2 linked regions of the Nothobranchius furzeri genome follow. The protein of the gene in region 1 binds, or shares a complex with, the protein of each later gene. Links are inferred from orthologs where the notes say so. Each region holds a gene or a part of one and is shown on either strand. Other genes may lie near its edges.

What was found.
Region 2: vps39 (region 1) and vps41 share a complex: the UniProt entries of both Homo sapiens proteins name them as parts of the homotypic fusion and vacuole protein sorting (HOPS) complex. The link is inferred for Nothobranchius furzeri from reciprocal best matches to the Homo sapiens genes VPS39 and VPS41.

What each region holds. Positions count from the first base shown.
Region 1 is NC_091758.1:17,013,476-17,018,089, reverse strand, and holds the start of vps39 (vam6/Vps39-like protein), read left to right. Parts: upstream 1-1,744; 5' UTR 1,745-1,834; intron 1,835-1,961; exon of another isoform or gene 1,962-2,102; 5' UTR 2,103-2,179; coding exon 2,180-2,252; intron 2,253-2,323; coding exon 2,324-2,389; intron 2,390-2,469; coding exon 2,470-2,534; intron 2,535-2,735; coding exon 2,736-2,778; intron 2,779-2,937; coding exon 2,938-3,032; intron 3,033-4,614. UniProt on the Homo sapiens protein: Regulator of TGF-beta/activin signaling, inhibiting SMAD3- and activating SMAD2-dependent transcription.
Region 2 is NC_091747.1:46,098,486-46,101,801, forward strand, and holds the end of vps41 (vacuolar protein sorting-associated protein 41 homolog), read left to right. Parts: intron 1-114; coding exon 115-242; intron 243-315; coding exon 316-460; intron 461-535; coding exon 536-577; intron 578-652; coding exon 653-703; intron 704-786; coding exon 787-924; intron 925-1,009; coding exon 1,010-1,064; intron 1,065-1,144; coding exon 1,145-1,285; intron 1,286-1,354; coding exon 1,355-1,491; intron 1,492-1,741; coding exon 1,742-1,841; intron 1,842-1,923; coding exon 1,924-1,968; intron 1,969-2,057; coding exon 2,058-2,137; intron 2,138-2,236; coding exon 2,237-2,317; 3' UTR 2,318-2,535; downstream 2,536-3,316. UniProt on the Homo sapiens protein: Plays a role in vesicle-mediated protein trafficking to lysosomal compartments including the endocytic membrane transport and autophagic pathways. Acts as a component of the HOPS endosomal tethering complex.

The sequences.
Region 1 (4,614 bases):
CCTCTTATGACCATAATTATAACAGGGCCGCCTGGTATTTTTTAATCTTATGGCTGTGAAACTGTAATAAAAAGTGCAAAGTGTGTGTAACTTTTCTCCTTTTTTCAGAACAACCTCAGCTTTCAGTGTATGGTTTGTATTTAGAATTTATTTCTATTAAAGCCTTTAAAAAATCTGCTTAAAAGTGAAAAAAGCAAAAACCTGGCCGCCATCCATCATCCAGAACTGTACTCTGGGTGCTCCTCCGTTCCGGCGGGGGGTTCAGGCACATGTGTCCTCAAGACACCGTCCGGGGTGCGTGTCTTACTCCTAGCTGGCTCTGTCTGCCATCCTGGCTCTCTCTCTCTGTGTCCCCCTGGTACATGCGTTCCTCCCTTTAAATAAAATCTGTATTGCCTGCGTCTGTTCATTAATTTGCAGTCCAGGCAACACTCCGCCGCAGGTGAAGACGATTGGGATGATTAACACACCAAACAACAAAACACACCATCAATAAAACATGCACATCAGAATAAAAACAAGTAAAACATGCAATATAAAATATAACGTAAGTGCAACATTACCACTCTGTGACATATATGCACGAAAAGCCTCATTTTTAATCTTTTCAGCACTTTTGGAATTTTAATGATATCTTTAACGGTTTAGGAATTGTGGTAATGGGAAGCATGTCCAATCCCGTCTGCGGTGACAGGTTGGTAATAAGAATATTGCGGCATTAACAGAGGGGTGCTGGCGGTCAGGGCTAGGGGGCCCCCCAACACAAGAGGGCCCCAGGCGGCCGCCGACCTATGCCTACTGGTAAAACCGCCTCTGCTTACATCGATCATAATGGGCAATGTGAGATCACTGGCCAACAAGATGGAGGAACTCCAAGCCCTGTCAAGGACTCAGCCAGAGTTTCGGCAGTTTCGGAACCGCTGGAGGAGATAATGCAAAGAAGGATTCTCCAGAGAATCAAGAAAATTATGGACAACCCTGAGCATTCTCTTCACAAGACTGTCCGACAACGGAAGAGTGTCTTCAGTCAGAGGCTTCTTCAGTTTCGCTGCAACACTGACCGCTACTGGAGATCCTTCCTGCCAACAGCCATTGTGATATACAATAACTCTTTGATGACTTGATTATTATTATTATTCTGAGCAGCAATCAATTTCTCTCTGGGATTAATAAAGTATTTTTGAATTGAACTGAACAAGTTCAGCCATGTTGCAGTCACTATCTTCAAGACACCCCACCCTCTCCTTGCTGCAATTTTTTAAAGCCTCCCTGTGGGCACATGTGAGTCAAGATGGGTGAGGCCATGAATGCAAATTTACAGTGGGACATAGATATGTGAGTGTTTTCAAATCCTAGCATTAGCTATTGCGAGATAGCCCATCTCTTGCGTTACATGAGAACATGTCTCAGATAAGTGGATAGAAGACTGTTTTCATGTTCAGCCTGCATGGAAAACTCAGAGTGACCATGTTAAATCACAAATAACATTTAAAAAGTGTTTTTTCAGTCAACCACACCTTTAGGAAATAAAGCTTGAACCATGATTGTAGCTTTTATAGCTTTATTTAACTAGCTTCTCAACACTCATATTTGTCATAATGTTGAAATCTACAAATCTTTCAGAACAAAATTATTGTTTAAACTGTACTTTATTGTTTATTTCGGTGAAAACTGCGCTGCGCAGTTTAACCGCAGTAACAAATTTCAGTGTTGCACCTTTAAGACCTTACTCGTGACCACGCAGGTCACGTTACTGTCAAAGACCACCATTCTGCGCACGCGCTGTCCACGCATCTGAGGAAGTGGCGACAAAGCAACAACAATCTGACTAAAAGTAAAGTGTTATTGTTGTTATTTGTTAATAATTAGGCTAACGAGCCAGCTGCACTCATGTTAGATCGTATCGATAAGAGAATGTCTGCTTCAGCGCTGATTTAGTGTCAGAACGGTGTCCGTTCGCTGCTAACTTTAAGCTAACAGTAACGATCAGCTGTTGTTTTGGTTGGAGGAAGCTGTCTTGACGAGCCCAACTGTATAACACCACAAATGCGACGAGACAGGATACTCCAGAGCAGTTTTACAACATTATTTATTTAACACAGACACTCCGAAGTGATCGTTGGGGGGGAAAGGTTGTGAATGATCTGTTGGTAATTGAATCCACAAGAGTGGCTTCAAGATGCACGACGCCTATGAGTCGGTGCCTATTTTAGAAAAGCTTCCTCTTCAGATCGACTGCCTCGCTGGCTGGGGTGAGTCTAACACCTGTGGTTGAGCAGATGTGTTAGTCCACTGGAGCTCCTGACTGTGTTTGTCTCCTCAGAGGACTGGCTGCTGGTCGGCACTAAGCCAGGACATCTCCTCCTCTACAGAATAAAGAAGGATGCAGGTAGGAAGAGCCCAGGGCGTACAGACGGACATTCCGGTCCTCTCTAACCAGCTTTAAACAATTCCTTAATATCTCATCAGGCTCCAACCGGTTTGAAGTGACTTTAGAAAAGTCCAACAAGAACTTTTCAAAGAAGATTCAGCAGGTAGGACAGGATTTGTGATGATGTTGAAGAGTAAAGTTGCCTTTACATGTACTTCCTGTTTGGATAGTAAACATATTGTATCAAACTTTTTTATAAATAGAAAAATCATAATTTGTTTTTGCTCTCAAGATAAACGTTTGACTGTAAATTTGCACCAAATTGCTGCACCATTTCAATTTAGTGTCCTAACTTTTTCTCCAGCTTTATGTCGTCTCACAGTACAAAATTCTGGTCAGCCTTCTTGGTGAGTTTTAACTACGATTGTACATTTTTACATTTGGATTTAAAGTTAATCACCAAATCCTCTCTGGGATCTTTTATTTCAAAGTTGTGTTTTGATACATGCAGTGTGTGATTTATTTATTCTATCATGAATCATATCCAAGAATCTCCTTTGTTTCAGAGAACAACATCCATGTCCACGACCTCCTGACTTTTCAGCAGATCACTGTGGTGAATAAAGCCAAAGGAGCCACTCTGTTTGAGTGTGACCTGCAGGTGAGTTACTGTCACCACAACGCTTCTGCTTGTGGCAGGAAACAAAAACAAACACCCCCTAAACATTTTCTCTCTTGTGGATGTGTTTAAGGGGAGCATATTCTGCTTTATGATGTGTGCGACACATTCTGGTCAGAATATCAGAAGAATAACGAAGCCCAACAGAAACCACTTATGATATCAAACAGTTTTCATATAATCCAGGTTTTGACCGTCTTCACATCAGATTTTAAAGACCAAGTTCACTGAGAAACCGTTTTCGAGATATGTTTGGTTACTCTGTGTTTCACATGCAGGCTAAACAGAAAAAAATGGTCTTCTGCTTTCATTTCTTGCATTAGCTGCTCGTAGAAAATCGATGGGGAAATGTCTGGACTAGAGGAGCCAGTCAGTTGTGCGTCACATTGTAAAATTAGCATTCACGGACTCACCCATCTTGGCTCTTAACGGGAAGGCTGTTGTTGATTTAGCATCCAGGAGAGAGCAAAGCGCGTTTCGGCAAATAGAAGCTAACTGTTAGCATTAGCAACTCCACAACACGGCAGAACCCCTTCAGGCTGGTGGTATTTGTAGAGCTAAAACAACAACTTTCCAGATCAAACTGAGTCAGTGGTAGGGTCGTGTTGCTGTTATCCAATCAGAGGCGAGCTGTTTGAATATCAGGAAATAGGACTCCAGATCCTGCCGTCTTCTGCACACCTCTGCTCAGGCTCATTCTAGTTCCTGAAACATGAGGGCCAGAGTTTTTTTCTGCAGAGATTGACTCACGTGGCATTCATGTGTACAAGAGACCACTGCAGATGTATTGCAATTCATCCAGCGTTATCGCTAAATCTCGTTCTGTTAGAATGAAGGTAGTAAAGACTACTGCCACCAACAGTCTTAATAAAAAATCAATACAGTGATTTTAAATGTGAATACAGTATCGAAACGCTGAAATATCGCATCTAACCTATAAGAACCCACCCGATTGGCCAAATGGGTGCTTTGTCATAAACTTCATGTTTCTGTTTGATTGAAAAAATACATTATGTGCATTCAGCTGAACATTCGTTGTGTTTATTTCTGTTCTTTGTGATATGCATATTGAGCATGCCGACATTACGATGACAAAACTTTCGCCATTTATTGTGGCGCCTTACTTTGCCCCCTAGTGGAATCCTCCAGTACTGCGTGCAGTACAGCAGCCGCCTGCTGCCTGCATCATTGAGAGGTTAAAAATCAAGTATATTCCCAGCCTTAAGGGGAAAATGTTTCAAAATGTCCAATTTTCAGCCTTTAAAATGTTTAACTGTTGACGGAGCATCGCTAGCTAGTTACGTTCTGAAGCTAATCAACATGCTTAACCTCTGATTATGAATAAACGTCAAAAACGTGCATCAATGTTTGCCTTTTTATTAGAATAAGGTGAATATTATTGATTCTAAACGCTAAAACACAGTCAGCATTTACAAAGGAATGAAATGAAATCATATTAAATGGTAACTGAGAAAAGCTGGAAGCAGGCAGAAAACCCTCCCTCGTTAGAGGTCAGACCACTTACTTGTCTTTGTTAAATGGTGACATTCCCAAAGCTCATTTT
Region 2 (3,316 bases), on another chromosome or scaffold:
AAATGGAAAAACGATTAGATCTAGATGGCTGAAAACCAGCTACTAACGTGTGTACCTACTATAGAAATGCACTCATTGCTCTTTAATCTTATTCCTTTTCTTATTTTCCTGAAGGGCTTTGCCACGCTGATCCGGGAGTGGCCTGGAGAACTTTACAACAACATGGCCATCGTTCAGGCCGTCACTGACCACCTGAAGAAGGATCCGACCAACAGCACGCTGCTCACCACGCTGGCTGAGCTGTGAGTCGCCTCAGCGCTCGCTTTCATCTAAGCTTCTTGTTAAGTTGCTGAACAGGACTTGATGCTTTCTCAGGTACACGTACGACCAGCGCTACGACAGAGCTTTAGAGATCTACCTGAGACTGAGACACAAAGATGTCTACCAGCTGATCCACAAGCACAACCTGTTCTCCTCCATAGAGGACAAGATCGTCCTCCTGATGGACTTTGATAAGGAGGTAACAAACCAACCTATTTATTATTTAGTCCATCTAAAGACCATTTATGTAATTAAATGTGTACGTTTTCATTAGAAAGCTGTTGACATGCTTCTCGACAATGAAGACAAGATTTCTGTGAGTAAATTTGACAGTTTTGAATGTCCTGGTAAGAACTTTGCTGCTAGCTGATGTCCATGGCTCTCCCGACAGATGGACAGGGTGGTGGAGGAGCTACATGGTCGACCTGAGTTGCTGCATGTGGTGAGTTTTCTGTAACTTGGATGTTTTAGGGGTTCATTTGAATTCATTGGTGCAGCGTGATGGCTAAGCCGTTTCTCTCCTAGTATCTCCATAAACTGTTCAAGAGGGACCACCACAAAGGACAGAAGTACCATGAGAAGCAGATCGGCCTGTACGCCGAATACGACCGGCCAAACCTTCTGCCTTTTCTGAGAGACAGCACTCACTGCCCTCTTGAAAAGGTACTGTGTGTTCCTGCCACCAGAATTACAAACAAATTAAGCTTCTGTCATTTCTTCTTACTTGAACTTTGTCGTTTTCATCCAGGCTCTTGAGATTTGTCAGCAGAGGAACTTTGTGGAAGAGACGGTCTTCCTGCTAAGTAAACATTTAGAAACAAACGCATCTGTTAAGGGAAACGTGAGAAACAAATGCAATTTTTTTTTCTCGTTCGTCTTTCAGGCAGGATGGGAAACTGTAGACGAGCCCTGCAGATGATCATGGAGGAGCTGGAGGACGTGGACAAAGCCATCGAGTTCGCTAAAGAGCAGGATGACGCAGAGCTGTGGGAGGACCTCATCTCGTACTCGATCGACAAGCCGCGTAAGACGTCACTTGACTCTGAACTTTTATCTCATTGTCTTTAACTCACTCCACCCTCACTAAACCCAGCGTTCATCACGGGCCTCCTGAATAATATCGGCACGCATGTTGATCCGATTCTGCTCATCTATCGGATCAAGGAGGGCATGGAGATCCCGAATCTCAGGGACTCGCTGGTGAAAATCCTCCATGACTACAACCTGCAGGTCAGGTGGCTTCTCTCAAAGAAAAACTCTATTTATTTAAATGTCTGCAGGTTGCAGACTGATTCTTTGGTGGCTTAAAGATTACATGACACACCAGGAGCTTCCTTCATGTAAAAACTTGTTATTAATCCATTAAGTTCTGCTTTTTGAAGAGTTATAACAGGTTTAACAGGTAATTTAATTGGTTTATATGGCATGAAATCTTCTGACTCACTTGCTTAATTACGCGCTTTTATTTCTCGACTTGTAGATTCTTTTAAGGGAAGGGTGTAAGAAGATCCTGGTGGCCGACTCCCTCTCCTTGCTCCAGAAGATGCATCGAACCCAGATGAGAGGAGTCCGGGTCGATGGTGGGAGCAGATTCTATTGCTAGTTTGTGTTGAACCAGTGCAGATGAACCCCTAAATGTGTTGATTCTGTTCATTCTTTCAGAGGGGAACATTTGTGAGTCGTGTCATGGTACTATATTACCATCAGGTGGGTTGATAATGTCATTGATCCCTGTGTTTTTTTTTTGTTTTTTTTTTTATGTTTACTGTATTAACAGCTTCATGTGTGTGTTTCAGACATGGCCCAGCCTTTCAGTGTGGTGGTGTTTCACTGCAGACACATGTTTCACAAGGAGTGTTTGCCGTCTTCAGGAATAGTAAGTCTGCATTCAAACACCTCTTTCCCAACTCTGGTGTTATTTTATCAGAAAACCTCAGGAACATCCTCCACTTTGTTCCCATTTTTACTTTTCCAGATTCCTGGAGTGCAGTTCTGTAACATTTGCAGTGCGAAGAGGCGAGGACCTGGAAGTGGAATACTCGAAATGAAAAAGTGACACTTTAATGCCCTCATGTTGTTGTTATTGATGCTTTTTGTCTCCTTTTTTCCCTCGTCGGTACGCTGATGAACAGGAATCTTTTTTCCTCAGTTGATGAACTGTACTCTCACCAAAATACAGAACTGTTACCCTTTATTTGTTTGCTAACTGTAAAGTGCCGTGTTTTGTCCAGATCACCTTGAATGTGATGAAGAATAAAATCACATAAACTCTGACTGTGTTGTTGATGCTTTATGTCATCCAAAATGCTTCTTAGGTTGAGAGTATCATAAATCATCAAAATGAGTTGCTGAGTGCATCACGGGAGTTTGATGCTCTCTACGGCCAATGCAAGAGCTACAGCTTCATTTTCTGTACAAATTTAAGTTCATTACTGGTTTGCGTCGATTCATCCAGGGTGTATCCTGTTTGTCTGGCATTCATGAACAAGATCTCATCTTGTAGTCGCAGAGATCTCATCTGTGCTTTATTGCACATCCTTATATAATTCAATTATTTGGGTGTCTAGTTGACAAGTGAGGACTGGATGGAGCAAAAGATGGGCCGGTGGATTGGGGCTTTGCAGTTGTAGCCGGTGCTTCATAACTTGTTCTTGTTGAAAGAATAAAAGGACGAAAATGCTCTTGATTTATTGGTTCATCTACATTCCCACCCTCACTGGTTTGGATAACCAAAAGTAAAAGATCCCAAATAAAAGCAGCTAAAATGAGCTTCTTTGGAGAAAAGATGAAGAGCTCCATCATCCAGGGGAGTTCCCATACATTTTTTGTCAGTATTTTAGGATTTATGGGTCTAAAGCAAGCCGTTTCAAAAAGTACCTGTCTGTAATGTCACAAATGGGAAAATTAGAATAGAACCACCTCACACATGTAAGCGAGAGCTGATGCTAGAGGAGCAGCTACTCTATTCCGAGCCCCTACCGAACATCGGAGCTTCTCAGCTTATAGCAGTCTGGGGAAGGAGAAGTGGCTGTGGTCAGCTCCTGCTTATTTTCTT